Xenopus tropicalis: one gene and its partner. The protein of the gene in region 2 purifies or fractionates together with the protein of the main gene of each other region. This does not show direct contact. Links are inferred from orthologs where the notes say so. Each region holds a gene or a part of one and is shown on either strand. Other genes may lie near its edges. The genes, in order: pak2 and arhgef6.

The links.
Region 1: the proteins of arhgef6 (region 2) and pak2 purify together in Homo sapiens (affinity purification with mass spectrometry; 3 studies listed by BioGRID and IntAct, counting the BioPlex papers as one, with this or other methods). This does not show direct contact. The link is inferred for Xenopus tropicalis from reciprocal best matches to the Homo sapiens genes ARHGEF6 and PAK2.

Annotation. Positions count from the first base shown.
Region 1 is NC_030681.2:129,799,109-129,815,932, forward strand, and holds the start of pak2 (serine/threonine-protein kinase PAK 2), read right to left. Parts: upstream 7,382-16,824; 5' UTR 7,068-7,381; intron 6,951-7,067; exon of another isoform or gene 6,816-6,950; intron 1-6,815. UniProt on the Homo sapiens protein: Serine/threonine protein kinase that plays a role in a variety of different signaling pathways including cytoskeleton regulation, cell motility, cell cycle progression, apoptosis or proliferation.
Region 2 is NC_030684.2:69,203,149-69,220,281, forward strand, and holds the start of arhgef6 (rho guanine nucleotide exchange factor 6), read right to left. Parts: upstream 7,225-17,133; 5' UTR 7,195-7,224; coding exon 7,030-7,194; intron 5,986-7,029; exon of another isoform or gene 5,977-5,985; coding exon of another isoform or gene 5,953-5,976; intron 2,277-5,952; exon of another isoform or gene 1,983-2,276; intron 1-1,982. UniProt on the Homo sapiens protein: Acts as a RAC1 guanine nucleotide exchange factor (GEF).

The DNA of each region.
Region 1 (16,824 bases), on a different chromosome or scaffold from region 2:
TCTCTACCTAGGTTATAAATATGGTTGCGCCCCTACATGTCTGTACAGTAAACCATGTCAGGGAAAAGGGTCTGGATGATGATGAATAGGCAGGGGTCAGGCTGTAATGTAAAAGGGGGCAGAGTTGTCAAGTAGAGAGGATGGATCAAATGAGTAGGTAGTTTTACAAAGTTGGTAGTAGGGGATAGAAGGGGAGGTAGGGATTGGTCCGGATGTGGACAAAAAGTAGGGATTTACCAGCAACTACACACAATGTGCAACCCTAATGGTTCCTAAAGGTCCCTCCAAGTCGCGCTGCCCTCTCTTTCTGTGCATTCCTCTTTAACATCCCGTTAGTAACTCTGCTCTTAATTTTCTACATTACATATTGCAGAATAGGTATTACAAAGACAATTAAAATAAATATAATGCAACAAAAAAAATGCATGGGTGCATGCCCCCCCCCCCCCAAAAAAAATACCTTTACCTACTGATTAAAAAATACATGTACACAAAAATATAGAAATAAATTCCCATGTTTAAAGTTGCGCCAAGGTATGAAAAAGTTTAGAAAGACTTGCGAGAGCTACAACACACTTTTGCACATACAACCATTGTATATCTTAGCCATCATTTACCATTAATACAATAACCCCAGCTTGACAGGAAAAGGGATACGTTTTTCCAGTGGAGTAAGAATGTGTATAAAAAAGGAAGTTCCGTCCAGGATTTCCTATTGGAGAAGCACTAATGCACCCTGCAAATTCTTTCAGAGCTCTAATTAAATTTGCACATGAGGATGATGATGAAGATGATGAAAGGACTGTTTCTGTACTTCTGAAAAAAAAAAAAAAAACACAGCTGGAAAAAGACCATTTCCAAGTGAAATCACTTGAGAGGCCCAAAGACCAGTGGAGGAAATCAAAAAATGTTATCAGAAGAACAGTTCCCAAAAAGGTCTTATTTGTGAAAAAGCCAGATATAACGTTGCATAACAATGCATTGTACACATACAATGCATGAAAAATACCATATATTAGGAGATGAAAAGAAAGCTTACAACAATGGCTACCCAGTTTGCAAAAATAAGACTTTTCCAAGCAAACACCCTTTGCAACACAAAACAAGGTGTGCAGGTTTCCTATTGGCAGAAAGGAATATGTCAACAAAGAAAAACTACTACTTAATAAAACAGGAGTGATTCTAAAGCTGGCCATACATGTATAGATATTGTTAACAAATACAAGGTTTGGTACAATAACCTGTGTGTTAAAAAGTTTTGCTAGTATCCCTTTGTTCATACTCTGTACAGTCCATCTAAAGGTAACAATATATTTTATAGTATTTTCCTTACAGATGTATCTTTCCTACATGAAAATATAACTGATAACCACCTCCTAGGATACAATTTACTTCAATGGAAAACAAGCGAAACCTCTAGTTTCAGACAGGAAAGCTTACAGGAGAGATTTCAGACTGCCAAGGTATAACCCGTCAAATTTTATCCAGTAGTGACACACTGCGAAGGTACATTATGTATACTTTAAACCTCAAAGGAAACAAATAATAAGCACAGTTTTAATAACTGGGTTGAGTAGCACAGTACAGAAGAGTTTGTAAAGTTATCTGATTACACAGGAGATACAATTATGTGAGAGGCTGAACCTCGCACCATTTTGTCTGATTTAAAAATGCTATCAACACTGTAGCTCTAAATAACCGAGATGCAATTAATAATAATAACCTGTTTCCGCATATAACACATGGAGAGGATATACTTATCACTAAAATCGGATGGTAACCACATGTAGATGATGCATAACAGTATATGAGCTAAATGAAAGCAAAAAGAGCAAACGCTCCCCCTGCCTTCATCTGACACATGTACAGCACTAGTACACATAATAAACCTCTGGGTGCATGAGATTGCCGCTACTCCTCTTCACTGTTTACTGTTCTGATCGCCTGTGTGTTCGGCCCAAGCAAATGTAACAAGAGAGAGACAGGCATAATGTGATACTGCACATATAGTCTCTTTAACAACTCAACGTTGGAGGTATAATTCTGGTCATAAAAAAGTGCAAATGCCCCAGACCATCAGCAAGGTGTGATAATGAAAAACAGGAGTGGCTGAGCAGGCACACATGTAATCCTATATAGACAGGCAAAGTAAATTGAATAATAGTTATTTGCAAAATAGCAGAGTACCTACATTCCTTTGTGTTTTGTGCTTTTTGTTGAACTTAATCATAGGCCCATAATTAAGTGCAACAAAAAGCACATACCTCCTAAACACTCAAGCAAACAATCAGTCATCTTAAATTACTTCTAACCCTCGAAACAGGTTTTTGAATTTCATAACTTAATTCTGCCGCTTGTATCTTTCTGAAGCACATTATGGCTACATTTGCTGACTAAAGTTGCCCATACAGGGGCTGATAGGAACAGAAAACTTGGCTCCTCCAGACTGATTCATCAGCTTATTCAGCTGACTGAGAGGCCGCATGACCAATATCTGGGTGAAAATCAGACATATGTTGATTGATTGGGGAGGTTTAAATATAATACTGGGTTAAGACCACATCATCATGTTCATGTAGTCCTTGCCCAACAGATCTCCATAGGCCCTCAGTATGATTTGACTCCAAGGATTAGAGTAGCATGATCTGACTAGAGCTGTGGAGTCAGAAGCAATTTTCGGTACCTGGAATCGGAGTTGGCAAATATGTACTTATTGACTCTGTAATGGAAAATAAAACCCCCAATATGTTATAATGTCCTATCTCACAGATAATAGTCATAATAAGTACTTCTCTGCTGTAAGAATAAAGCCCAATAAGCAGTTGTTTTACTAGTGCAAAGTCCAGCTGAGCTATTATAACCTTATTGTTTTCATTTTTTTGTGTTTTGTTTCAACATAAAGAAATGTTTGTACAGGTATGAGATCCATTATCTGGAAACTAGTTATCCAGAAAGCTGGAATTACAGAAAGACCATCTCCTATAGACTCCATTTTATTCAACTCATTATCCACTCATTTGGCACCCAAGCCTATTGTCAATTTAAAGCAACTACAGTATCAGTACTGCTTTCTACAGTTGAAACAATACTTGCTAATCTGTGTCAATATATAAAGAGAGCAAAATTTAAAGAACATACCTGACAATCCATCATGTTAAATAGCAGCTCTTACTTTGTCCGAAAATGCCTATAGGCATCAAATAGATTAGGAATTCACTTCAGAATGTGCAAGACATGCACAAACAGGCCTAAAAGGGTGAGCTGGAACGTTATTTGATTGAAAAAGTAAAGATAAAATGTCACTGCTTCTTAATCTCAGTAAGACGCTGAGCTCTGTCTCAGTGTGCGAATGTCTCTAAAGTAAACTGTATATATCAAAGCATGAACAGAATAGCTAAGCGGCAATATATGAAAGAGTCAAAGATATGAATTTGTTAGGAGCTGTAAAAGATTGCAAGTTTTCAGTACAGCTTTATTATAACCTGCAGCAAGACCAGAAACTTGGGCCACAAAGTGCCTATTTTCTCACACCTACATTTTCCCACTCTACACAAAGCAACATAAGGAGAAGTTTCACTCCTGAACTCTGCAAACCACAATGTGGAAGACTAACGCCATTACAACCACCACTATTCAAGAATTTGCCTGTATCATTCAAGGAAAAATAAATAGCATTGATATTTTCCACAGAGAGGCAATGTTAAGTGTCAAAAAGTTAAAATGGCTCAGTATGCTTAAGCTGGCCATACATGCACCAATATAATAGTACAAAATGTAGTTTGTCTGCTTTTCGGACCCTGTGGGCTCCGAATTATATTAATAATAATAATTTTAGTACCATTGTGATCGTCATTTAGTCGATTGGACAAGTTAGAAAATTTCGGTCAGATAGCAATAAAATCTGGCCATGTATTGTGTATCTAACGATATTCCTTGTTTTTGAAACTTACATTTTTTTGTACAGCTCTTAGACTTGAACTTCAAGAGCTATCTGGTTGCTAGAGCTTAACTGTCTTAGCAACAAGACAGCACTTTGGAAAAGCGATAAAAATTGGACCACCACTAAACCCTTGCAGACATTGTGTTATTTGACCCCCCAAGAGAGCTTTTTCAGTTACAGGCTGGAAAAAGGCAGAAGAGCAATGTCAATGATTAAAAAAGTATTCAAATTAATGAAGACTGACTGAACACTTGCTTCCAACAGGTGGCTCTATACCATAATAACAAAATGTAAACTTCCCCTTTACATTTAGTTATGCATAACAGCATTCTGACTGGAGGACCAGTTCTTTCAATCCAACAGCCGTAATAGGAAAGCCAATATAGAATCAGCTGTAATAAGAAATAGCATCACAGAACTCTTGCTATCACGGTGTCGTTTTTACTCTACCTAGACTACAGATTGACAAGTTATAGTCAGGCACCAAGCAATTACATGTTTTCTATTGATGGTAAGCAGTCAATCAAAGAAAGCCTGCAGGGGTATCACCACTGATATCTACAAGGTTCATCCAGCAGACCCTTCTCTGCCTTTGCGTGACAAACCTAAAGTTGGCCATACACGCAACCATCTAATGGTATGATTTTTGGACCATGTTTGGGCCCATTCCCATAACTTTCATACAACGGTGACTGGTTGATTAGTCAACAGTGATAAAATCTATGCATGTATCCGACAATGTCCTTTGGTGACCTACAATGCATTGCAGGAACATCACTTTCATACGATTGTTGTTTGTCGTGACTTTATCCTTCAATTTCAATCTGAATGTTAGTTTTAGATTGTTGCATTTAAACATAAATTCGATATCTGAAAGTTTGTTGGAAGAAGAACAAAATCTATTTGTGTATGGCCGCCTTAAGGGTTCAGCCAGTGCGAGTACCAACCTGTCCAAAGGAATGATAAAAGGACAGTGAGAAATACATCACATTGCTTTACGGCAGATAATAGGAATTGCTTTTCTAAACATTAAAAGGCACATCTTACTTGCCTATATTTCTTACAGTTTCACTATGCACAATAATTTAGATTACTGACTTTTTAAATTAATTATTAGGAAAATAACATGCACAGCTATTAGTATTACTCTTTAAGTGATCAAAGCACTATTAGTTTGTCCCTATAATAATGCATTTTTGTAACTCTTGTGCAATGCACGTATACCCACCTGGGGGAAGAAATTAGCCCTTGCGGTTAGCGCTACATTTGTCCACAAAAATGACTGACTATTGTATTATTGCATTTTTCATTTAGAGCTCTGGCATGCAAAAAAACAAAATAATATAGCACTTGGCTGTATTCAAGGCCCACAGAAGACCAAAAGAACTGTACTGGACATGTGCAAACTGTAATCTACATAAATCACAATAATCTAAAAGCTCCCCTGCTAGATAAGCTCTCAAAGTTGTGCTGTCTGATTCACTCTGCCCCTCCATTTAGTGGTAAAGACTTCTACACACCATGTATTCAGTAAAGTGAATGTTACAGAGCAGTTTATTTCCTCGCCTGGCTGAGAGTAAATAATGATACCTACGCATTCTACCAAGTGTCGGACTCCCGGTGGGCCCAGGTGTCAGGGGGCCCTCATACTTCTTACCATTTGGCCTAGTTCATGGTCATTCATTATTTCTCTATATGAACAAGAAGACTAAATAGAACAGATTTATAGAGGTTGAGTGAGGAGTTGAGAAAAAGTAGTTTGGAGAGTGTGCCCCTGGCCCGCCAGTCCAACACGGATTCTACCTGTAACCCTGGTGCCATATTGATTTTATTTACCAGAATGCCATGGAAGCAAGTAGCTCCAGTCTTATCAGCAAATCTCCTAACATAGGAAACAAGAGATACGTCCATCACGTTCAACCATAATGCCTATATACAACCTGCCTCACTGCTAGTTAATCCAGACGAAGGCAAAAAAAACCCCACCTGAAGCCACTCTAATTTGCCGCAGAGGGGGAAAAAAATCCTTTCTGACACCAATGACGCAATCGGACCCTTCCCAGGATGGCAATGTTACTTTAAATAGGGGTACACACCAATGACATTAAACTTTGTTTCCTGTAATGATCTCTTTATATTTCTGCAAAATAAAAACATTGTTCTGAATTGAACAATTTACATTTCAACTAGATAGGTACGGCCTTGGTACCATTATTGACTCAACTGAACTGACAGGTTGGCAAAATCATGTTATGCCAAGGTATTAAGCAATGCAAGTTTTAACCGAGGAAACCCCCAAGACCGTGCAGACTAGCAGTTATACACCAAGTTACATTCACAGCCTAAACAGGTTTTTTGCCTCACTCATATATCATATTGTATTGTATACATACAGTGATACCCTTGCAGGTTGCAGTGCCCCAGTAGGTACATATCTTTGCATCTCACACTGAGCTCAATGGAAATTATTTCAGCAATTTTTTATTGCAAAATGTCAAAAACCACTAGTCTGAAAAAGTTCTTTATGGGGTTCATACCCTGAGTTTCTGCTGAAGGGGCTCACAGCCACTAAGTCCAACCTGGCAGCTGGGTGCCACTGTGCACCATTGGTATTCACAGCAGGAAGAGATCCAATAAAATCCTGCCTTGTCCCTATCTAATGATTATACAGCAAAGACACGTCCCCAAGCACAAGAAGGGCCATTCTATTGTACAGAATACTATAACTCCCACAAACCCCAGCTGCACATGATGCGAGTTGGAATTGAGCACTGGGTGCTTGCTTGTCCGGTCCAGCACAGGAATACAGGGAATACAAGGAATACAGAGAAATACAAGGAATACAGGGAATACAAGGAATACAAGGAATACCGACAGTGGATAAACTAGAGTTCCCGGGTTCCCAGAAGCTGTAGTTCGGTCCCAATAGGAGCCAAGGATTGGCTATAGCTGGCGTGCTGCCCCGGACACACTATTTCCTCTCCTCACAATATCCCCATCATGGTGTTACCCCTCAGCTTGCCGGCCTCGCCGCTCCCACACCGCACACCAGGCCGCCCCAACTTTATAACATGACACGTAACGGGACAGTGCAAACTGTGTGACAGAAAACCACGTTACTTATTACCGGGTGTGTGAATGAGGTGTTGTGACTTGTTCCCCTCCGCCGGCTCCCTCTCCACTGGGCCCCTTCTTTCGCTCTCTCAGACCCTCCTCTTCCTTGCTTTTTCCGGTTCCGGGTTGCCACACCTCCCTGGGTTCCCCACTGCTCCTGTCACAGTTCAGTAATTGAGCGCCACTGTGTGAGAAGCGCGTCACAGAGGGAGGAGCTGAGTGGCAGAGCGGGGAGACTGGGCGGGCAGAGAAGCGTGGGCGCTACCACCATAAGGGGGGCGGCGGGGGTGCTGGCAGGGCCGTGTACGCACAGCGAGTGAGGGGGGTTTGGGATTACGCCGCTGTGTTTTTGTCAGATGAGATGCAATGCCTGGTATGTGTGAGGAGTGTGTGGGCGTGCTAGGAGCCGTTACTTACCAATAACATGACAGTGAAATTGTAGCAGTCCTGCTGCGTGTGCGCTTGCGCTGTTATTGGCTTTCAGAGTGGGCGCTGACGCCTTGTTAGGGGTTTGCCGGATAGGTGGCCCTTGGGTTGAATGCAGGTTTCTGCATGTTACACTTGTCTCACCCACCCTCCCCACACAGCTGTATTTGGGCAGCTTCATTGTCTGGGTTGCATTTAAGGGAAGAGTAGGGCAGAAAGCAGAAATGCTGCATATTAGGTTTGGGCTCCTGTACCAGCCCAAGTCACCCACAGCCCTTTAGCAGGGAAGATCTGTGCCCCCAAAGATGCCCCAGTAGCTCCCCATGTTCATTTCTCCTGATTCACTGCTTAGGACCCTCTCACAATAGAATAGAATAGAATATATCTTTATTGTCATTCTCACATAGTAAACAACGAGATTTTAAAGGAGACATATTGGATAAATGGAAAAAACCCTAATTTTGTAGGCAATTATGAATAATATATGGTACTGGTTTCCCTTTGTGCTTAAAATGAATCCTATCTGTAACAATGGCCCCTTTATTGGAGCTCCCTATAGATCCTATCACTTCTCTGTCTGTGTTTCAAATGAAGGGTGGGCGTGTACTAACGGTCTCTGCCAGAAGCACAGTAGGAGGGGGAGAGCCAATCACAGCCCTGCACTCACACAAGCACAGACAGGCTTCCGTTCCCTATCAGGTCAGCCTAGCTGCTGATTGGTTCCTATCCTACAGTGCAGGGTACTGAGAGCCGCCGGCTCCCCAGCTCATCCAGAGAATTCAGCCAGCAGGAAGTGGAACAGATTGGTGGGACTAGAGGGGTTTTGTGGAATTTCTCAATAAATCAGTCAGAAACACAATGTTTTTTAAGCACAATCCTTCTATATTTAGAGGAATAGAAGTCACTGGTACATTCATAATTTTGATATGATATGTCTCCTTTAAAATAGCAACGACTCAAAGCAGTGGCATAATAATACTGTATACAGGGTTGGACTGGGGAGTTCAGGGCCTACCAGGGCACCCCCCAATGGCCCCCACCACCTTCTTCACCCCCCCCCCCATCCCGCAGAGGCCCCCAACACCCTACGTCCCCCTCCCTGCGAACGCTCCTAAAAGAATCCTAACTGCGGTGTGTCGGGGGAGGGACGCGGCATGGAGGAAGCGCCCTGGGGTTGAGCGGATCAGGACCATGGGGGCCCACCAGGTTTTCTCCCAATACCCCGGTCGAACGCTGACTGTATATACAGAATATAAATGTCACAATACGAGACGAGTAAATAATTCTGATTATTAGTACGTCAGCTCAGAAACCAGTGCAATTGGCATCAAAATGTATCAATCAGCCCTTTAGCATCAGCTTATATGGCAGGCAAACCTAATTTTCTGCTTGATAATTTGTGACAACCCCTAAGATTTGCTTCTCAGAATCCATAGTGGCGGTCAAGGGCAGATTTCATGCATGCCTGTTAGTACATGTTAGCTCAGTAATAACAAGTACATAAACCACCTGATACATGTGTGACTACTGTCCAAAGATGCAAAATGCATTAGCTCAGGGACCATGGTGCATTGAGGTACTCTGTACTTTTACTTCTAAATCAATATTGTGCAGTAAGCAGTGTAGCTGTGACTGCTGCCCATTTTGCTCAACTTGGCCAAGAACATCACCTAGCAAAGACAATATTCTGCCAAATGTGTAAAATGGGGTTCTCAGAAGTGCTTGAAAAGTGCAACAGTACTTCTGCTTTAAAGAGACACTGACACCAAAAATTAAATCTTTTTTTACAACTACCATAAAATTGTTTTTGCATGCTATTTATTTTACCTTAAAAGTGTTTGCTCAATGCCTTTATATTACCCATCTGATCCCCCATGTTTCTCTATGAGGGGGCGGCCATATTTGTGCAGCAGGAGTCCATTAGCATTAGAAGCTATAACTAAAGGTTTAGAAGGGACAGTGAGGTTGGCAAAACAGTCAGGTTAAGGAGCTTCAAGTAACAATTACTTACAAAAAACACCCTAATGGTTAAGGGTAATGGAGTGCCGTTAAATTTGCAGTACTGGCCTTGGAAGGTGTTTCACCGGCTACAATGATAAAATAAGTACAATTAATTGGTTTCCGTTACATATATATTGGCAGTTAAATGTAAGGTGCCCCATTGAAGTCCAGTAACTTGATGTTTTAAGGCTTTTTGCCAAGAAACCATAATATTTGTGTTTCCAGTCAACCCTAGTTCGTTTGACTTTGTACGTAACAGCCATGCTAACCCAAAGTCTTAAAGGGTGGCTTAAACTAATTGACTGCCCTACAGGCTCCTCTAGTCTGAATTTGACCCCTGGAAAAGTTGATTACAGATAAATAACTCTCGAAGATCTGTTCCAGCAACAAAGAGCCACAGGAGTGAATGTGTGAAATTCTCTGCAGGGTCACATACCAGAAGGAGAGGTCTGAGGTTAGGCCTTTGCCAAAAATTAAAGAGTGTTGCACTTGAAGGGTTTTAAGGAAACTAGAAGGCACTGGGACAAGCACTGCATTGTATAATTATCAGGCATTTTTTGTATATTCTGTTCCCACTAAGGAGATGTGATACAATGTATGTGATCCTCAACTTCTACTCTGTATCATTCCATTATGCTCTGTAGCTGCAGTTTATTAGTGTATTAAACAATTTCTGTGTTTGTACACGGCACTTAGTATAATTCTAGTGCATATTGGAATCATTATCAGTGTCATTGTACAAACGTACATCCTAGTGGTCCATTTTGTTTGAAACCTTCTGGGAAAATGTTGGGAATCCTGATAGGGAAAAAAAAACGGGGGGGGGTGAGGGCACCCAGTTCCCTTTGTTTACACCCTGTTTTCACTGTAGTTGTAGCTGGATATTTATAAATACAACATAGTGTGAAGAGCACTCACCAACACTTTCTTTGACTGTCAGGGACTCTTGGAATTGGAACAGCCCAATGGGCCCTTCTCCTACATCCCAATGAGTATCCCAGAGTAGCACAAATTTAAATTAATCATGGTGATTTGTAGGTATAAATATGGTACAGTTTTAAAATCACTAGTTGGTATTAGTAATAATGTAAAGTTCTATGTTGAAGGCTTGTGTTTGCTATAAAAACATAGGATTGCTCAAACATAGTTGAATCATTTTTTATTTTTTTAAAAGCAAAATTGTGGTACTTTCTGCTGATGGTTGATGATAATGCACTGGTACTGTGGTGAGATGAAGCATTATACACACAATGGGTCTGGTTTATCCTATACCAGAGCAATCTACATCTCCCGTGCAGGGGCCATTAGCAGTGATGTCAGCAGGAGAACCTACAAAGACACTCAGGGACATAACTATAGAAGCAGACTCTGGGACTGCTGGGGGCACAGGAAGTAGTGGGAGCCCACTGAGACTCTGGCTGATTAAGCAGTTTCAATCTATTTATAGGAAAATTGTCAAAGTTAGAGGGTGTGCCTAAAATCATTTTGCTGTGGGGTGCAGTCATGTTTTTCCCACTTGGCATCCTGCCCCATTATCAGTGCCTGTCCAGAATAAAGAGCAAGGACTTTTTCTTTACATATGAAGGCATCACTGACTGCATTTGAACGTTGTACTTACTGCCTGCCATAGTTTTTCTTAAATTACTCTAGTATTAGTACTCATAGGGGCACATTTACTTACTCACGAACGGGCCGAATGTGTCCGATTGCGTTTTTTTCGTAATGATCGGTATTTGGCGATTTTTCGGAAAATTGTCGTGACTTTTTCGTAGCCATTCCGAATGTTGCGCAAAATGTTGCGATTTTTTTTGAATCGTTACTACTTGCGCGAAAAGTCGCGACTTTTTCGCAGCTTTCGTGCCGAGTACGAAAGATTCGGATTCATTCAAGCTTCAGTATGGTGACTTTTCTTGGGCCAGGTTGGAGCTGCAGGGTGCCATTGAGCCCTATGGGAGGCTTTCCTTGGGCCAGGTTGGAGCTGCAGAGTGCCATTGAGCCCTATGGGAGGCTTTCCTTGGGCCAGGTTGGAGCTGCAGAGTGCCATTGAGCCCTATGGGAGGCTTTCCTTGGGCCGGGTTGGAGCTGCAGGGTGCCATTGAGTCCTATGGGAGGCTTCCAAAATCATGCTAAGTCTGAAAGTTTCGCCCGCCGCTTACGAGCGCTCAATACGAAAAAGTTGCGACAAGATACGAGCGCATCGTAATGGCTACGAAAAACTCGAGTTTTTTTGCGCAAATCGTATTGGTAACGAAAAAGTCGCGACAATTTCCGAAAAGTCGTAAAGGCGACGAAAAAATCGCAAAAAATACGAAAAAGTCTCAAAATGTTCGTTTTCCAATCGGAATTTTTCCAATTCGGATTCGTGGGTTAGTAAATGTGCCCCATAGTATTCATATTTCATGTAATGCACAGATTTGACATTTCCAAAAGTAATTATTATTTACTTAAAGGGGTGGTTCGGCCAGAGAGCTGATATTGATCCATAAATAACCCAGAAGGGTTGCTTTATTGATACGGTACCCTGCAGATCTGTATCTGTTCTGCAAGTCCCTATAGAGCACCTCTTTTTTATGAATTCCGAAGTACAGAAGATATATTACAGTGGCAATGTGTAATAAGGATAGCATACCAGAGCAGATTCAGGGGTTTGTGCATCTGTTATGCACAGTGTATTGATTGAAAGATAGTGGTGATATTACTTATGCTACCAAAGTTTTAGTCTGCCCTGGGACCTTCTGCAGTGTATATGATATATTCAGGTGTATATTACAAAGTGAAGACTCATAAGGGCCATGACAGACGGGGATATTAGTCGGCCGCAACAAATCGCCCTTGTCGCAGGCGACTAATCTCCCCAAAATTTGCAGCGCAGCAATTTGCTGAAATCGCCAAAGTTGCCTTGAGAGGAATTTCGGCGATTTTGGCGCTGCAGTATGCCATCCCACTGGCCATTTTATATTCTAGCCAGTGGGATGGCATTTCGGGGAGATTAGTCGCCCGCGTCAAGGGAGATTTGTTGCGGGCGACTAATCTCCCCGTCTGCCATGGCCCTAAGGGTTATAGAACAAGCAGACAAGGTATAGAGTTAATCACTTCCACTCCAGTTGAGTAACTCTCAGGTTACAGCAGAGCTACCCATTGTGTTCATATTCATTATTAGAATGGACTCACTTTAAAATTCAGCAGACATTCCTGCTACTAATTCACTCATAGTTTAATTAAATATAACAGCATTTGTCCTTATTAAAGCAGAAGAAAAGCTACTGATATATATATAAATAAATATAAAAAAACAGGTGCACAACAGGTAACAAACCAGAAATGCCTGGGTGCTCAGGAAACTAAATAATTATGTCTTATATAGTCCAGCACAAAAATAAAAAGATAAGTCTTTATTGAACATTTTGGCTTAAACTTGAGCCTTCATCACGAAGTGATGAGCTAAATCGACGAATAGAGATCTATTTTTTTATTTTCACTATTGCTATATATATATATATATATACATACACACACATAGGTATGTATACAACGCTAAAGAATGACAGCTAAGCTGCAGAAAACTGTATAAGAACATTAAGCACTAACTGAGTACATTCTCTTGCTTCTAGGTACTTTCATTTAAAGCATGCAAATAACTTGAAAAACTCAAGTCTCAACTTGCCTTTAAATCACACAGCTAATGAAGCATACAGCGCTTTGTAAAACCTGCCCAGAAGGCAAAACACTTGACAGAAGCAGAAAGAAGTGCTGAAAGTTAAGAAGAGCTGAGCATTAACCCTTTAAGTGTTCCCGAACATAGAATCCATGTACCATACCAAAAAAGGCTGCTAGTTTAGGGCGAGTAATGATAATCAGGGATTTTTATTACCTTGATATTGACTTGAGGAATAGTACTTTCGGTACAGTTAATGGAAACAAGTTTAATTTGTTGCATGACAATTTTATGTCACAGTTTGTTAAGGAGTCAACCAGAAATTGTTCTATACTGGATCTAGTGATTTGTAACAACCCAGAATGTATAGCAAGTGTGTAAGTGGAACCCTTAGGTAATAGTGACCATTTAATATTTGTTGCAAAAAGTAAAAGTACTCTGGGGCAAGAAAACAAATATTAGTTCCTTAAAGAGATTCTGTCATGATTTTTATGGTATATTTTTTATTTCTAAATTACACTGTTTACATAGCAAATAATTCACTCTACCATTTAAAACTTTATTCTTCAACCAATAAATGTATTTTTTTAAGCTGTAATATTGGTGTGTAGGTGCCATCTCAGTGCATTGTGCCTGAGTCTGAGCTTTCAGAAGGAGCCAGCGCTACACATTAGAGCTGCTTTCAGGTAACCTATTGTTTCTCCTACTCCCATGTAACTGGAGGAGTCCCAAGCCGGACTTGGATTTCTTACTATTGAGTGCTATTCTGATACCTACTGGGAGCTGCTATCTTGCTCCCTTCCCATTGTTCTGCTGATCGGCTGCGGCGGGGCGGGGTGATATGACTCCCCTTGCAGCTCAGCAGTAAGGGTTTGTAGGAGGCTGGCAGTCAGCATATGTAAAATACAGGAGGTATTCAAAATATTTTAGGTCAAATATGTTTTACATTTACAACTTAAAGTAGCCATACACGTTAAGAATGATCGTATTATAACGGGAGCAATGGGTGCAGTTGGTTCGGGGACCGCATCAACGAGTCGATGTGGTCCCCGATCCGACTAAATCTTTTAACCTGCCCGATCGATATCTGCCCAATTTCAGGCCAGATATCGGTCCGACATGCCCCTCGTTCCTGCCCCTACAGGGGCCAATAAGCTGCCGAATCGGTCTAAGGGACCGATATCGGCAGTTACAATCGGCCCATGTATGGCCACCTTTATATAAAGAATACCACTTTAAATATGAAAAAACGCATGTGATTTGACATTTTTGTTGGAATGAAGGGTTTTATATCACTGAGGATCTAGTTTCATCAATTCAGGTTAGTGCATTTAGAATAATGAAAGCAGAAACAAACAAACAACAAACTTTAGGAAAGCTTTTCAGTTTTGTAGTGGATTCAAAACACAAATGTTTTCCATTTTGGATTTGTCAATGTGCACTTTCCAAAAATATATATTTATAGGCTACACTTATTATCAGTGCCATGTTTGGCCATGCAATCTGTAGAAAGCTCAATAATCTGGGTCTGGAGGGATTTTGTTCAGCGCAAGTCAGGAATCTCTTTATAACTATACATATTTGTTATCGGCGTGCTTGTGACTTTCCAAATTAGTTGTAATTTTGTTTATGTAATAAAATATATTTCTCATATCTCTATATAATGAGAATCAGAATCTATGTCTCTATATAATAAGAAACAGTAGGGTTGATTCACTAAAGTGCGATAAGCGTTATTGCATGCTTTTTTGCGGTAAAATTGCCGCGAATAAAAAACGTGCGATTCGCTTAAGTATTATCGCATGCGTTAAGTTGCATATTGCGTGCGTTAATTAGCGCGCAACTGCATACATTAATTTTACTGCATTGCGTTAATTAGCGAGCAGAAATAATACGAACGCATGATTCACAAATACTTAGACGCGCTAAATATTGCATTAGTTTATGCGAAAGGTAACACCTACTTGGGGCAGGCAGTAATTCTAGAAAAGTACAGTTCATGAGCTTTTGGCAACACAATATGGACTTTGCAGTGGGATTTATTCAAGTCTGTGTTGGCCCCAGAGTGATGCAGCCTCCAGTTTGCAGGGAAATGGTCATTTTCAAAAAAAGTAGTTTTACGAACGTAATGGTGTGTATGGCTAATATGGCACGTGCGTTAATTAGCGCGCGCAACAAATAGCACACTGTGTTAATTAGCGCGTGTTGCGTCAAATACCGCACAAAAATAGTCTTTGCGACTTAAATAACGCAAACAGCATTGTGTCTAAATTAATGCAAATATCCTTTTAGTGAATCGTGCGTTAAGATGCGGAAAATTAGGTGCGATAAAATTTTTAACGCATGATATAAATAGCGCTCGTTTTAACGTACTTTAGTGAATCAACCCTAGTATTTGTTAGGTATTTAGAGCAGTATATCTTATTACAGAATCTAAATAATACAAACATTCAGACAAAGTTGGAAACTGCACCCTGCATATATATTTACCTCACCACCTCCTGTTACTCTTTTAAAGTTTTGAGTCTGAAATCCACCTGCCCATTTGGTCGTGTAGTTAAAGGGGGTTAATTTGCAAAGCATTGTTATGCTTTGTACCAGAGCAGTGCCCATAGCAACCCGAACACTGATCAGGTCAGTGCAGTTAGAATAATGAAAGCAAAAACTGGTTGCCAAGGGTAAGTACACAAATAGAAAGCCAAACCTATGTTTGTTAATATCCTGTTTAGAGTGCATGTATTCAGGTTAGAAGAGAAATTTCTTTACAAAATTCTCCAATACATTAAACCAGCTGACGGCAGCATGTGTAAATGAACTTTCTCTCAGATGCTGAGGCCCCCTTTTGGTGCTTCAAGCAAATGAGTGGTGAGTGGTGTTACTTCTAACATTCTAAACTCCTTATGTGTTTATTCATGGTGTACAAGATAATATTTTGCTCCTTAATAATCTAAATAAATAATGACGCACAATAGGCTAATATAATGAGCTTTATATTGGTTATGGTATCTAGTGAAGTGAAACACATGAAGTAGCACAAAGTAGCCTTTGCTGTCAGTGTTTTATAGCTTTTATTTTCTACTGTTGACCACATGATGGTGCTGTACAAGCAGATTACTAAATTTGTTTTCAGTTTTCACTGTTTTGGATTTATAAGTCATAATCAGTATTATCAGACAGATATAAGGGGGAAATTATATCTTCAAATTCAGTTACAGATGTATTGATATACATCTCCAAGAGATGTTTTTTTGTTTTCTTTTATATCATACAAGGCATATAACTGAAGAGCTGCATGTTATTTAAGTGCTTGTGTATGCCTTCATCCAAGAGTGAAGATGCTGTTCCAAATGCTCAGCTACTAGGCCTGGGGGTATGAATGTTGCTCTGGAACGTGGTAGAAAGGGGGGTGGCTGCAAAATAATGGTTAATGATATCTAAATAAACAATAAATATTTCCTGTGCTATGAATTTTTATGCAGATGCAATGTAGATTCTTGGATCATTTTTACATGGGGCGAAAGCACCTTAATAGAAAGTAATGGAACACACTGCTCACTTTAGCTGGAACACTCTGGTGCTCACCACGAACATGTGATTTTTCTTGTACTCAGCAAATACACAAAGGTAAGACTTTGTTCTATTAAAGGAGACATATCCTATAAAAATTATGAATGTACCAGGGAATTGT
Region 2 (17,133 bases):
GAAGAGGTCACACGTTACTATTGCAATTACTGTATATACTCGAATATAAGCCTAGTTTTTCAGCACCCAAAATGTGCTGAAAAAAGTCACCCTCGGCTTATACTCGAGTCGGGTGCCATGGGTCCCTCTAGACTAGCACCCTCTCTCCTTTGTGTGCAAATTAGGCCACCCACAGCCAGACCCTCCAGTTCCCTGGCCTAGGCTCCCACTAGCAATACTTATTTCCCCTTACATCCCTCCGGGACCAGGTCTGCTGCCAGTTTGCCAATGTGCAATGAGCGTGGGGTAGTACTCATATTGTTTTTGTTGACCCTCTTCTCCACTTACAGAGCTAGTTTACTGTTTTTCTTTTAAATAAATATTTAAAAACATGTACCCAACTGATGCCTCAATTAATGTAATTTTATTGGTATTTATTTTGATTATTAAAACTTAGCAGTAGCGGCTGCATTTCCCACTTTATAGGCTTATACTCGAGTCAATACGTTTTTCCAGTTTTCTTAGGTAAAATTAGGTACCTCGGCTTATATTCGGATCGGCTTATACTCGAGTATATACGGTACATGTTATTTAAGAGAAAACGATACCCGCAAACAATGTAGAACTCAAGCTCATATGCAAAACCCTGCTTTATCTAAATAAACCATTTTCATAAAAATATTCTTTTTTTAGTAGTATGTGCTATAGGGTACTCCTAAATAAAAAACTGCCAATTTATGAATTAAGGGCCGCCTACTGGGATCATAGGATTCACAGTGCACACAAGCCAAAGCACACATACATGTTAGGTAACATCAGCCAACTTATGGACAGAATTCTGCCTTTTGCTTCCACACTACTTTCTGTTACAGTTAGAGTTGCATTATTTATGGTCATGTAATCTCTATAGGGAGCACACAGCCCATCACTAAATGGTGGCTCAAGGGAAAGGATGTAAAAGGGCAATATTTACTGATATATATATATATTCCAATTTGGAGAGATTTTTTAATAGGTTACTTAACATAATATAAACTATCTGTTGGTAAAGCATTCATTCTGGAGTAATGGAAATCAACACAAGCAAAGAAAAAGATGGAAAAAGGGCAGACTGGAAATAATACAGGTACAGGACCCATGCTTGGGACCAAGGGTATTCCAGATAAGGGGTCTTTCCGTAATTTGTAACTTCATACCTTAAGTCTACTAAAAAATCAATAAAACATAAAAAGTAAACCCAATAGGATTGTTTTGCATCCAATAAGTAATACTTATATCTTAACTGGGGTCAAGTACAAGATACTGTTTTATTACTACAGGGAAAAAGGAAATCATTTTTAAAATTCTGAATTATTTCATTAAAATGGAGTCTATGGGAGATGGGCGTTCCGTAATTCTGAGCTTTCTGGATAACGGATCCCATAACTGTACTACAATATTATGCAGTTTAGAAACACGGGAATGGGGTCTATTAACTGATTATGCAGAGTGTTTGGAAACTGCGATTTATGATAGCACCCTATTTAACCCTTTCCCTGGTGCTGGTTTCGCTGGGTTAAGGGCACTTTGGGAAAAGCACGTAGCTTGCCGACAACATAGCACGTATGTCGATGGCAAGCAAGGGGTTAAACAACTTTTCTTTGTTTACTTTTTCTCTGTAATGAAAAGACAGTACATTGAATCTGACTTTAACTAAGCTAGCATAAATCTATATGACAATCTGTAACTTTTGTATCTGACTTAAGGCAAGTGTTCCACATTATGGATTTATTTTTAAAATCTGAGGTCCTTAACTTTTGAGATAATAGTCCCTATACCTGTACAGGAAAATCCCATGCTGGCAAGCTACACACAAAGAGGTGAATGAATACACTGCTTGTATAAATACAAAACAGTCCTGTTAAACTGCTGAGGGGAGGGTAGGGGAGGAAACAACATGCTGTGTTAGCATAAGTTTATTATGAAAGGTGTGTTAATAAGGGCACAAACCCAAAGCTACTGACCTTATAGAAAGCAGTTTACTAAACAAGATCTTCTCCTTTCCTGTACAGTCTGAATTCAGTGACAGGAAGAGAATGTAAACTGGGCTGGAAAATATCTCTAACCAATCAGCGAGTAGCACAGAAATAACCTCTCGAGTTCCCGCAAAGCTGCCAATAAGTGTGAGGTTTACATTACAAAGTTCAGGAAGCCAGAAGGGTGATTGGAAGAACATGCACAGACACAGCTACAGAATGCTTCAGGCCATGTGATCAAACCTAGTGGCTTGCAGTAAAAAAAACTAAAATTCACAACGCTAAAGCAGCAACGGAAAGGAAAATCAGAGCACCCACCCTTTAAATCAGAACATGTGTGACAAATAAGCCAAACAAGCTGTTCTGACACTGCTGCAGCTCCCTAGTGCGTGTGCTTGTGTGTAGCATATGCAGTGAGTGCAGGAAGGCACTGCAGACAATTCAGCACAGTCCTCTACAGTACTGGTTTACATACAATCATTGGAGGGAATAGAAAGTGTCAGTAAATAAAGGAATCCTCTTTGTAGTGAGACTAAGGGAAAATCGAGGTTTATTTCAAAAGTTCAAACAGAATTTGTCAGTAACCTATATGCAGTTATTATCTGTGCAATATGATTTCGTTTTCGCAGTCAGATCAAAAATATTTTGGTCTGACTGGCAGCAGCAGTACATCACACACTGCATTTTTGTCTGGCCTTGGTATTATAGATAGTACGTATATTTGAGCATCACAGTAAAATAGGGTTACAACAACCACCTTTAATACAAACTGCCTTTACCATGTAAGACTGTACAGCGCTGCGTACCCTTGTGGCGCTTTATAAATAAAGTTATACATACAAGTTATACATACAACTAAGCTACTACGTACTTGGATTTGCTTCTATATGTCAGTATTGGCTGTAGTGTCAAGCAAGCTGCGGCTCGTCGTGCCTTGCACTGAAACACATCTAGCCGGGGGTAGAACAGGCAGAACAGCGGAGAGAGGCTTGTGAGTTTGCAGCTAAAGTTCTTTCACGATGTCTCAGTAAATGCTTATGCTTTTGTATAAAGCCAACTCTGAAGCAATATGGGTTATCATTATATGGTTGTCACAGGAAGACTAAGCATACCAGGGCCTATTGTTGCGTGCAGCTTATCTTACTTCTGCATTTGCCAGTTCTCATGCTGAGGCAGATGAACATTTTATTTTGGACAGACCAACTGTGGTCTGATGGTTGGGCAGGCCTGTTCAATCTGCCAAAGAAAATCTGAGCATGTGTATTCAAATTAATAGTATGCATTTTTTATACAGAACCTATATTCATAATAACAAACAAATGTGTAAAGAAATGAATTGCTTTTAAGTTTAAAATTCAGGTCTAGAAGAAACACACTAAGGATGAAAGCCATTAAAAAAAGAAAAATAGGACAACAAAAAGTTGCTGATTATGATGATAATGACTGTTATTCATTAATATACATATAAATGCAAAAATACAAACAAATTTTATTTATGAAGATATTTAGCATTTTTAAATGAAAAAATATTTAAGGTTCATGATAACTACAAGGGACTATGCACCTGGCTGAAATTGTCTTCTATTGAGTTGAATAGGTATCACATGAAAATGCTGAAACGTGAGATTTCCCAATGGTCTTTGCCTAAGTTCAATTGTTCAGCATTCAGTTGGGGTGGGGGTGGCCCCAGTGGCGTAGCGTGGGCTTTCGTCGCCTGGGGCCGACCGGAAATTTGCCGCCCCTCTATTTAGTTATTCTTAAAAAAAATAGACAAAATAAAAAAAGCAGCATTAAATTTTTTTTTTTTTTTGATTGAATTTGAAATGCGGTGCGCATGTCATAATTGTCAAAAGTGGATTCAGCTGTGCGTCCGTGGCTGCCCATGGTGGCAGGGCCGCCATCAGAAATCACAGGGCCCCTCCCATCAGTACAGGACACACAGACATAAAAAGTATTAGGGTCACCCTACCACAGTGGCCCCCTAACACTATGCTGGCCAGGCCCCCCTAACGCTATTCTGGCCACGGTCCCCCCATACAACTGCCCCATAGACAGTACCCCCATACACAGTGCCCCCAATTGCCCCATACACAGTGCCCCCCACACACATTGCCTCCAATTGCCCATAGAAAGTGCCCCAATTTCCCCATAGACAGTGCCTCCAATTGCCCCATACACAGTGTCCCCATAGACAGCCCCCTCCACACAGTGCCCCCAATTGCCCTTAGACAGTGCCCCCAATAGGAAGTGCCCCCATACACAGTGCCCCAATTGCCCCATTCACAGTTCCCCCAATAGAAAGTTCCCCCATACACAGTGCCCCCATAAACAGTGCCCCCAATTGCCCCATACAAAGTGCCCCCAATAGGAAGTGCCCCCATACACAGTGCCCCAATTGCCCCATACACAGTGTCCCCATAGACAATACCCCCCAAAGACCTTGCCCCCCAATAGAAAGTGCCCTCATACACAAAGCCCCAATTGCCCCATACACAGTGCCCCCAATAGGAAGTGCCCCCATACACAATACCCCACAAAGACCTGGCCCCCCCCATGGAAAGTGCCCCAATTTCCCCATAGACAGTAGCCCCCACACAGTGCCCCCAATTTCCCCCATAGTACATACCCCCAACAGACCATTGGCGGCGGCTCCTTCTCTCTTACAGGCAACAGGCGCTTCTATAAGGTTGCGCCTCGTCGCTGACGTGTGACGTCATACGCACGGGCGCAACCTTATAAAAGCGTAAGAGAGAAGGAGCCGCCGCCGCCCCTTCTGATACGCCGCCCGGGGCCATGGCCCCCTCGGCACCCCCCTCGCTACGCCACTGGGTGGCCCTCTTAGGGTCCTGGAGCAGTGGCTGGGGGTTTATTCCGCTTAAACAAGTCCTGTTGTGCCGGTATTTTTGTGCTATTTGGAACGTGGTGGAGAGTGCTGAAGTCTCACTCTAAATACTGTGCACCAGGCGGAACAGAGTGGAAAGGCCAGGGTGTGCTAGTGAGTGTGGATTGGTAGTGGCTGGGGGCACAGCTTTAGGGTAAGCCAGATATTGTAAGATTTGTCCAGAATGCTTATTTGCTTTCTTAAATTTTACACTGGAGAACAAAGACTGAATGGTTTACTTGGTTCTTGGAACTTAGAGGCATCCTAACCAAATTCTGTCCTTCAAAGGGGAGCTTTGCATATTCCGTAAGAGTCCAGACACCACTGCCTTATAGTTTGGCTGAGATGAATTTGATGTTTTAAAGCACTAAAAGTATTTATGTTTAGGTGATGCTACTTTTATTCAGATTTAAATATACAAATTATAGTTGAAAATTGGATTTTGTCCGAATGCAAACATGATTGATGTAGTACATCTCAGATGATCGTGAGAATGATAAACCCCACTTATCCTCAGCAATCAAGAGTTACAATGCATGTTTTGTACTGCATGATTTTCATGCTTGGAATCTTGCTTTAAATGAATTTTCTGCCCATCATCCTTTCTGACAGAGTGTTTTCAGCTGTGTATTGTGCTTCCAGTTGCATATATCATATTTTCCAAAGAGCAAATGAGGTTGTTACACAATTTTAAATTCAATGAAGTTAAAGCTGAATGGAAGAGTGGAATCAAGCAGTAATGCCTTGTAACAATACAATAAGATGTGCAGTGAATCACTACATACAGTATTTATAAGACTGTATAACTAACATACCTTTTCCATAAATGTGCAAAATAATTATTGTATTCAGCAAACGTATAGCTCTTCTGCTGCTCTGCTGTCTTCTGCTTTAGAACTGCTCCTAGCATTCTCTACCAGGCACAGGAAACATTCAGACAACCTTATATAATTGTTTTTAAAAATACCCTGGGGTACTTAGAGCAAAGTTAGTGGGTACATTAGAAGCTGTTTGCGTTAAAAAGGGAAACATATTGTTCAAATGAATATAAGAGGAAAAATAATATAGCTAACTTACTAGATGTTTAGATGTGACGTGCATCAAGCAGTAGTCAGACTGAGCTGAGCACGCATTAAGGGGAAGTGACAAAACAGAGTTCATCCTTACATGGCCAACAGAGTTCTCGCTACAAAAGCATAAGAGGAACTAAAGTGGACCAGTTATTAAACAACATGCATCAGTGTATCAGTGCTTCCTCTTTCATAAACTACAATATCCACAAGCCTCTGCCATCTTTCAGAGCAGTGCCAAACGCCAGAATGTTAACTCCAGGTTAGTGTATTGCTATGCAAAAAAGACTACAAAACATACAAATATTTCAAGTGTCCTGCTGCAACATAACCATGGGAGGATATAAAACATTTAAGCACTGGGGTATTATATACTTAAGGAGCTAACCTAACACACTGATTTTACCTTAAAAGTGGCCTTTACTTTCAACTGTTTCCTGGAATTTATATAGCGCTGACACATTTTGCAGAGATTATGCATCATCCACATCAGTGTCTGTCCCAGTGGAGCTTACAGTCTAAGGGCCCTATCACAATCACACACAGGAGGGTCAGTTGTATTGGGAGCCAGTTTTCCTGGCTGTATGTTATTGGAGTGTGGGAGGAAAATGAAGTATTCAGAGGACACCTATAGACTATAGCCCAGTAATCCTCAGTGAGTGGCTCATGAGCAACATGAGCTCCCCAACCGCTTGGGTGTTTTGAATTCCTGGATTTTGGGCATGTTTTGGTTGCATAAAACAGGTGTACTGCCAAACAGAGCCTTCCGTAGGCTGCCAGTCCACATAGGGACTACCAAATAGTCAATCACAGCATATATGTGGCACCCCAAGGAACTTGTTTGTGTTGCTCCCCTACTCTTTTTACATTTGAATGTGACTCACAGGTAAAAAAGGTTGGGGACCCCTGCTATAGACTCTGTATGAATTTCTATTTACTTAGGCCCAGGCAGTTATGTTCCTTTATTCCCAGAATTGTGTTTGAAAAAAGATTGTGCACAAATCATACCTAAAAATCAGGATTTTTCGTATACTCATATTGTGCGCCTATTTAGGCGAAACGGAGAAAGTGGGAAATGGCTTACCTTAGATACAAAGCCTGGGAGGAGGCGGTTCATCAGTTTGCAGAGCACCACCCCATCCTTCAGTGAACATTTCAAGAAGTCAGCAGGATTGCATATGTTTTTCTTGGGAGAACTTAACACCCCCAGTGAGATCAGCCAAGTGACGGTCTGTTCCTCAGGGTTCATGGCTGTGTAAATTGGCTTCGTACAGTGCAGGGTGCAATGTAACAAAGCTGTTCTGCAGCCACATCCGTGATTGCATCTGCTCTGCTCTTCCTATATGTGCGGGCTGAGCTTACTTTTCAACAGCTTTACCAACTGCCTTCAGTAACAAGCAGGAAGCTGCATGTAATAGAATGTGCTCTTATGCTTTGCGTTCTGGGGATCCTAAAGTAGTATTTTTTGCTTGCATCTCTTATTCTCATTGTGCTTGCTCTAGGGTTTCAAAGTTATTCTGGATGTCCTGATGTTCCAGAAAACCGGTCTCATAAATTATGTAGGATAAGTGCTCTGTTTTCTGAGCCAGTGCAGAACAGATCAGCACAGGATAAGAGGCTGAAATTAAAATGCATGTTCTTTGATACTGGATATAGTTAGCCTCATACATGTTGTGTATATACAGTACAGAGCATTTTATTGAATGAATAAACTGAAAATAAAATATATCTAGTAGAATATAGAAATGTGGATATTTAAATAAAATACATTAGGCCAGGCATCCAGCCTGATTGGTGGCCCTGAGCATGATAAATATAGGGGTATATTTATCATGCTGTGTAAAAAGTGGAGTGAAGCATTACAGCGATGTTGCCCAGGGCAACCAATCAGCAATTTCACGGTTAGTGTCCCCTAACCTGCATTATTTTGAAAAACCCAATAAAATATATAAAACAACATTTTTTTTTATAATTCTGCTGCTTGGAGACTGTTGAAGTGACCTGCTGGGGCTAGGCTAGCCAGGGGGAACCTATATCCAAATAACCATTGATTTGCAGAGCTGTTCCAGGTGACATACATAATGTGTTAAAGGAAGAGTAACACCAAAAAATGTATATATTTTAAAGAAATTAAACTATAATATACTGCTGCCCTGCACTGGTAAAAGTTGTGTGTTTGCTTCAGAAACATTTCTAGAGTTTATATAAACCCTGCTGTGTAGACATGGGGGCAGCCATTCAAAAGAAGAAAAGTCACAGGTTATATAGCAGCTAACAGATTAACCCTGTAGAATACAAAGGTGCCTTTTCTCCTTTTTCCCTGCTTGAATGGCTGCCCCCATGGCTACACAGCAGCGTATTTATATAAACTATAGTAGTCTTCCTGAAGCAAACACCCCAGTTTTACCATTGCAGGGCAACAGTACATTATATTTCAATTACCGTATATACTCGAGTATAAGCCGAGTTTTTGAGCACCAAAAATGTGCTCAAAAAGTCACCCTCGGCTTATACTCGCGTATATGGATAACATGTATATCCCGTGGATGTCCACGCGCACCCCCGCCACCAACCCCTCCTCGCTCAAACCACCTCATTGCTGTGCGCGCTGTACCACTAAAACCTCTCTTTGACGTGCGCTCCTATGGCAGATTCCGTGCGAGAATCCGCTCTGTCTGAGGATTCCAGCTGCCGCTCGTTCGTACCCCCGCCGCCGACCCCCCCTTCTGGATGCACGCAAGTGCACGCAAGTACCGCTCAGACGCCCCACCCCTCGCTGTGCGCGCTGTACCGCTACGATCCCTCATCTGGACAATCTCTACAATCCGGACACAGTGACCAAGAGGAGCGTGTGCCTCGGTCCCCAGCAGCTTCAACCATCCCCGCTCCCAGCCTACAGTAAACACCCGCCGCTACTCCTGGGCTAAGCTGCAGCACAAGCAGCCCATTGCGTTGTCTGTGGTGGTGGTTGGTTGCTAAGCAACCAACCACCTTCTAATACTGGTTGCATAGAACTCAGGACCCGGACTGAGAAAGAGCTGTCCAAACTGTGCCTTAACTTGAAAGTGGCTGCTCCCAGCCAAAGAGCGACTCAGCCTGCAATGTATTGCACCCCAGTCCTTTGGCACACCAGGCAAACCTGGCTTTTTCATGGCTGCACAAGGCCCCTGTGAACCTGCACAAACTGTAAGTCTACCCTGATGCACTCTCTTAGTACATAAGCTGAACCCCTTGGGTGCAAGATTTGGTAGGTAGATCCACTATCAGGGCTGTGCACCAGGAGGCTCAAGTGCAAGATGCTTCACTCCAAAGAGATTTTTGGGCCTGTCTAGTCATGGGCATCATGCACTTCTCAGCATCATGTAATTGTAATATTATGTAAGCCCACCCTAGGCTTATACTCGAGTCCATACAGTTTTCCAGTTTTCTTAGGTAAAATTAGATACCTCGGCTTATATTCGGATCGGCTTATACTCGAGTATATACGGTACTTTAGAACACTTAAATTTTTTGGTGTTACTGTTCCTTTAAAGGGATTTTGTCATGATTTTTATGGTGTATATTTTATTTCTAAATTACCGTATTTTCCGGCGTATAAGACGACTTTTTAAACCCGAAAAATCCGCACCAAAGTCGGAGGTCGTCTTATACGTCGGATATGGCAGGGCCGCCATCAGGAGGAAGCCTATTTACCTGAGGTCACTTCTCCAGCAGCAGCTGCATCTCCCGGGCGGGCAGAGCCCCGAGCACCGACGGCATGAGCAGGGCCCGGCATGCACAGCGGCTAGTACCGGGGGAGGGGACGGCCACACAGCAGCTGGGCATGGCGGCGCGACTGCACGAAACTGATACCGTGCCTCAGCCACGGACTCAGCAGGAACCTGACCCGGAAAGCATGGGAAGCTTCAGTGTATGAAAAGAAACCAGGGCAGGGTTGGCCAAGCCGCGGCCCTCCGGTCATCATTAAACTGCAACTCCCAGCTAGTCAGCTAAAGCAAGAGTGACTAACGTTGTATATCACTAAGGGCTTGTAATAAATTCTTACCACATCACCATTTTTAGGTAATTATAACTTTATTGCTTAATTTTTCTGTTCAGACTATACAATGTTTCTCTTTCATTCGAACTTTCTACTGGCTGCTTGGTTGCTATGGTAATTCAACTCTAGCAACCAAATAGCCTTCATTGACCGCAACAAATGTAAAAAGAAAAAAACACAAAGAATTAAGACTAAGACAGAATATAATTATATAACTAGTATAACTATATAAATAGAATATATAAATAGTCTATACCTTACTAAAAGAACTAGGAGGCCTATTCATTAAAGGGAAATACAAAATTCCACATGATCAAGGTTTTACCAGTTAAAATTTATTACATTTTCCAGCCTGATTCATTTATATAATTTGCTCATTTATAGCTGAACTACTGTATTTTAAGACTGTATAAGACGACTTTTTATCCCCGAAAAATCCGTGCCAAAGTCGGGGGTCGTCTTATACGCCCAGTCGTCTTATACACAGGAAAATACGGTACACTGTTTACGTAGCTAATAATTCACTCTACCTTTTCAAATTTTATTCCTGAACCAACAAATATATTTTTAAAAAATACATTATAAAACAGAAATACCAAACTTGCACAGGACTGCCTTTCAGTTATGCACTGATATTTCTATTTTTAGGAAATGTTCCATTGGGTGGACCCAATATTGAGTGTGATCTTTTTGTTTTCACTTCATATTTTTTGTGAGACTCCTATTTGGTATCACTGGATTTTTCTTGAATCTGGTAACCTTAATAAAGGGGTGGTTGACCTTCAGGTTAACTTTTATTATACTGTAGAATTGCCTTTTCTTAGCAACTTTTCAATTGGTCTTCATTTTAAAGAAAACATTATTGTGAAGAAAACTATGGCTTTATAAGGCTACAATTTTATTTAGGCCCTACTCTATTCATATTCTTGTCTCACTTTAAAAGCACTGCCTGGTTGCTAGGTTAAACTGGACCCTAACAAAAGGATAGCTGCTAAAATTTCAAAAGCCAAATAATTTAAAAATGAAGACCAACTGCACATTTGTATGCATCATGGCATAATTTTGGTCAACCAAAATATTATTTCAAAATATTTATTTATATATTTTTTTATGTGACTGCCCTTGCTATTAAAGTCAATATAATAGAAACGTTTTTAAAAGATATGAGAATAGAATAACTTAAGCATGACATAAAAAGGATCTTACTCCCTTACCTGTTGCTTTCCGTCTCGCAAGAGGCAGAGGATACCAAAGGTTTTCATATTACCAGAAAAGAGTAAGACTCAATCTGTTCCTTTATTGGAAAGCCACACTAGAAATATATTTTTATATATATATATATTTCATATTTACTTTTTGTAAAATTTAAATTATGGCATTTAAGCTTGCAATGACTATTGTGCTCTCAGGAGAGCAGGATGATCACAAACCCCAACCTACCTTTCCATTTTAGTTAAAGTGATCCAAATGATTTATAGAACACACCAGTTCCACTTAGGTGCAGCGGGACAACTTTCTCAGAAGTGTCATGTGCTAAAATCACAGAAATTAACTCCAAGACAGTACCTAATACAAGTTTGCTATAAATTAGCTAAAGAGGCTACACAGGGCAAAACAATTATGCCATGACTTTATGCGAGCAGTTTCAGTTAATATTATCCTACCATAAAGGGCACCTACCACATAAAAATTGTTTCCCTGAAGATGGGAAAAATAGTAATTTAAGAAAATCCCCTTTGCAGGTGCTTTACTCCCCACACCTCAAGGGAGCACATGTTGGCACACAAAGAGCATGTACCCCAGAATGCAAGTTTTACAATCTGCTATATTTCTGGTTGTAGAAGAACTTTCAAGAACTTTATAACACTATGGGGCTGATTGATCAAAATGTGAGTTTAGAGCTTAATATATAAAAACCTCACCCATGTTGTATTAATTTCTATGGGATTTTTAGAGGCGTATTTGTCAAATGGTGAGCTCTAACTTTCACCCATTAATAAATATGCTTCTAAAAATCCCATAGGAATGAATAGAATGTTGGTTAGTTTTTATGTATTAAGCTCTAAACTTATATTGTTAAATCTGCCCCTTAGCATAGCTTTGCAGTTTGGCATTTACTCATTTTGTATTTAGCAGAAACTTTTTTTTTTTATTCCACAACAAATGAAGTATGTGTTGATCTTGAAGAAAAACTATACCCCCAGAATATATCATATTTTGGGGGTGATTCACAAAAGGTCGAAATACCTAGGGGCAGATTTATTAAGACACAAATTCGAATCCTGAATGGGAAAAATTCGTATTGGATACAATCATTTCTGAAGATCGCAACTTTTTCGTATTGAATGATCATAAACGGTGGGAAAACCTTTCCGACTTTGATCCTTCTTTGCATGATTTTGGAAGCCTCCTATAGGACTCAATGGCACTCTGCAGCTCCAACCTGGCCCAAGGAATTTCACGATACCGAAGCGACAATACGAATTTGTCGTAAAATTTTATTGGATTGATAAATCTCCCCCATAGTGTTATTTTTAGCATGATTTAAAAATGGTATCACTTCTTATATTTTTATAATTAACTATCGATTCACCAAAAGTTCACTTGTCTGATTTTTATTTTTGTTATTTTTCAGTGAGCCATGTGCGGTATCTTTTAGCATGCCATATTTTAAAGCATGCAATATATTTATGTGTTATTTTATAGCACACATTATCATATGCTACTACCCAGGTAACCGTTACTTTCTGAAAACTACAGTTTTTCATGAAAATTTGAGGATGCATCACTCTAAGGTGATCACATACTTGATTCTCTTCTTCAGATTAAAAAAAAAAAAATCAGACTGCAAACTCCATCTTGTCAACACAGCCGATCATAAACTGCAATGTTGTTTAGTAACGCCCACTCCTAGGAGGTGTTAAGTTTCACAGTATTGATCACAATTTATGCTTTTAACTCTTAAAATAGAACTAGACTGAACGCATAATTCAAAGACCTATTTGCCAAGTGTCGCAATGCAATGCGATGCAATCTTGCATATGCGACTATTAACACATGCAAAATGACTGATGAATTGTTACTTGATTAGACATAATATTAATCTTATCGCATAATGCGTTGTGATAACAAACGTTTGCGAATCAGCCCCTAAGGCTGATGCCACACTAAGGGGCACATTTACTAACCCACAAATCAGAATTAGAAAAATTCCGATTGGAAAACGAACATTTTGCGACTTTTTCGTATTTTTTTCGGCGCCTTTACGACTTTTCGGAAATTGTTGCAACTTTTTCGTTACCAATACGATTTGCACAAAAAACGCAAGTTTTTCGTAGCCATTACGATGCGCTCGTATCTTGTCGCGACTTTTTTTGTATTGAGCGCTCGTAAGCGGCGGGCGAAACTTTCAGACTTAGCATGATTTTGGAAGCCTCCCATAGGACTCAATGGCACCCTGCAGCTCCAACCTGGCCCAAGAAAAGTCACCATACTGAAGCTTGAATAAATCCGAATCTTTCGTACTTGGCACGAAAAAGTTGCAACTTTTTGCGCAAGTAGTAACGCTACGAAAAAATCGCCAGATTTTGCACAACATTCGGAATGGCAACGAAAAAGTCGCGACAATTTTCCGAAAAATCGCCAAATGCCGATCATTACGAAAAAAACGCAATCGGACGCATTTGGCCCGTTCGTGAGTAAGTAAATGTGCCCCATAGTATTTTCAGCAAGCGGAAAAACACTTGCCAAAAATATCACCATACACTCCTTAAGGCTAATGCCAGACGAGGCGTAGGGCAGATATTTTCGGCAAGTGGAAAAGCGCTTGCTGAAAATTCAGCACGGGTGCAGGCACATGTAGCCGATATACGCATGAAAACACGATATAATGCAAAGTTTTTATGCGTATATCGGCTACATGTGCCTGCACCAGAGCGTATCTCACTCATTCGGGAGCAGGCACATGTAGGAGGCATAGGGCGGAATTTTCAGCAAGCGCTTTTCAGCTTGCCGAAAATATCCGTCCTACGCCTCGTTGGGCATTAGCCTAATGAGATACGCTCGGGTGCAGGCACATGTAGCAGAAATATGCATAAAAACATGAGACTTTGCATTCTCTAGTGTTTTTGTGTAATTATCAGCTACATGTGCCTGCACCCAAGCGTTTCTCATTCATTCAGGTGCAGGCACAGATGGGGGACATATGGCACATGTTTTTCAGCTTGAAAACATACACCATACTCCTGGCTTGGCATCAGCCTAAGTGTTCTACTAATTATCTTACCAAGTTATAATATATATTAGTATATTAAAGGAACAGTAACAAAAGTGTATAAAAGTAACATAATGTGCTGCTGCCGTGCACTGGTGAAAGTTGTGTGTTTACTTCAGAAAGTCTACTATAATTTATATAAATAAGCTGCTGTGTAGTATGGGGGCAGCTATTCGAAGGAGAAAAGGCACAGGCACATAGCAGATAAAACACTATTGTATTCTACAGAACTTGTCTGTTATCTGCTATGTAACCTGTGGCTTTTCTCCAGCTTGAATGGCTGCCCCTGTGACTACACAGCAGCTTATTATATAAATTATAGTAGTGTTTCTGTAGCAAACACACCAGTTTTACCAGTGCAGGGCAACAGTACATTATATTTTTATTACTTTAAAGTACATTTATTTTTTGGTGTTACCGTTTCTTTAATCCTTTCCCCTGCACCATTTTGTAATGGTTGGCATGCTACCTCCCTCTGGAAACAATGCAGCTTTTTAACCAACAGGTAGTAGTATGGGAGTAAAACACAAAGCTGTCTATTAATTGCCTGTGTGACCAACATGTATTTGTTCCCTTGGGTTGTTAGCATGCACCATAAATCTTATGATTTATGAACCCCTTCTTTCATTTTGTAAGCCATTTTAGGCTGGGTCCTTTACACTTCTTGTTTTGGTTATTGATTGCTTAGAAAAGACTTGTAATTCATATTTACAATGAATTACTTTGGCACCCATGATATGGAAGAGAAGATGCAAGGTTTAAGAGATTTCAGAATTTTATTTTTTTTTTTACATAAAAAAAAAAAAAAAAAGGACTGTTCAGTTCAACCGTTTACTTCACATACAATTGTAGGTACATTATGTGTAATCTGCCTTAAAGCAACAGTAATGCCAAAAAATTAAAGTAAATTAACTATTATACTGCTGCCCTGGCAAAAGTTGTGTGTTTGCTTCAGAGAGACTACTGTAGTTTATATATAAACCCTGGCTGTGTAGCCATGGGGCAGTCCAAAGGAGAAAAGGCACAGGTAACATAGCAGATAAACTCATAAGAAAACCGATAAACCGGGACTGTTCCTTTAAGCTTCAAATGCAATAAATATATATATTTTATATACATGGGCACATAGTGATGCAACAACCTGCAACCCAACCATAACCTCCCTGTATATATTATATATATTCCCTAATGACCCACCCATTCCTAATGTGAGCACATGGGACCCAAACAGGCACAAATGTATAGAGGCTGCTAAAGGCAGAATTACCAAAGGATTTGGGATTGCTAGCCCAAAAACCCAAGTACATCACTAGTAGCACACACACTACTAAAAACACACAAAAAGCCTTTCATTGAAAATTATTTTAATGTACATGCTGTTTGAAGTTCAGGAGTATAGTTTCCTAGATTGAAGTCTAATAGCTAAAGAAAAAAAAACAAAAAAAAAAAACACACATCGACATATTTAAAGCAATGTTTATTAAGTTATGGAAGGGGGGGGGGGGGAGGGAAGTGGAATATATGGATATGGTATGTTTATAGCAGTACTTAATCCAATGGATGTCTGCAAGTGTTTATTAACCAAAATAAAGGTTACCTTTAAATAATTTCAGATGCATTTTAAAATTCCCTAAAAGCAGTATCAGAAAATCTGGAAAGAAAAAAAAAGGAAAAAAGGGCATCTGCTAAATTGGATATTAACATTCACACAACAGGAGGAAGGTATGACCTAATTACCTGCAGGATTAATAAATGGTCAAAGACATCATCCAGAGCCTCTTATTCATAACAGAAAAACATAGAACAAAGTATGTTGGGGACCAGATAAAAGAAGAGCAGGCCCTTGTAAGTGCACATTTGGGGATGGAGGATGTAATCTATGATTTAAACTGATGACTTGTGTACACAAGCCAACCAATTTTTAAAGCAAGAAAGCTAGGCTTTCCCAGTGGCTTATAGCATAAAGCTTCTAGGCAGTGATTTTTAAATGTTATTAAAATACCATACAAAGTAGTCTGTGGAACCTAGAACAGCAAGGCCTTCTGATTTAGAGCAAGCCATACCAGAATATGAAAATGTAAAAAAAACTTCGGAATAGGCTCCTGCACACAGTGTAAGAAAGCTGTCCCTGTATGTGCCAAGTCAGTGCTGTCCAACTGGTGGCCCGTGGCCCCCACCTGCCTGCTATAACCGATTTAACATTTAAATGGTATCAGTACTTAGATTAACTGGCACCCCTGAATTATCTACACCTTTAAGACCTCAGACTAAGCATCCACATTGGTCAACTAGTTACACCTCAAACAATACAAGCAGTGCTGGCATTTTGTCACTATACTGCAGTACAAACTGTTCATCTTAAAAGAGTGGTCATGATCAGTTAACTGCAGAGTCATTAAAGGTTTCTCAGTTTTATTCCCTACTCCGCCTGTGTGCCATACGCTGCCTGCCCTATGCTGCTTGTGTGCCATACATGTAGACTGTTAGCATTTGGATATAGTTGTTAGGCCGTCCCTAAGATGTGTAATTATGTGCTACCTACAGGGGAGGAGGCAGCATATGATTTAAGGGAAAATCTTAATGACATAATAGACTTTCATATATAGTGATGGGTGATATCCCTGCAGTGAGCACCAACCATTTGGGTTTGGTTGTGCTACCACAATTAATGTGGGTATGGTCCTAAAAGCTCGTGATAACATGGGCGCGACTTGAAGTGGGAGGGGTTTTAAAAAGGGGAGTGGTCAAAGCTCTCTTCTATTATTGGCCCTCAAACCAAGTAGAAAAATTTCAGCCCTCAGTAGAAGCAACACTACACACAGTGCCACACCTTCATCCGGCAAACCGTTATACCTTTCTTGAAATCAGGAACACCA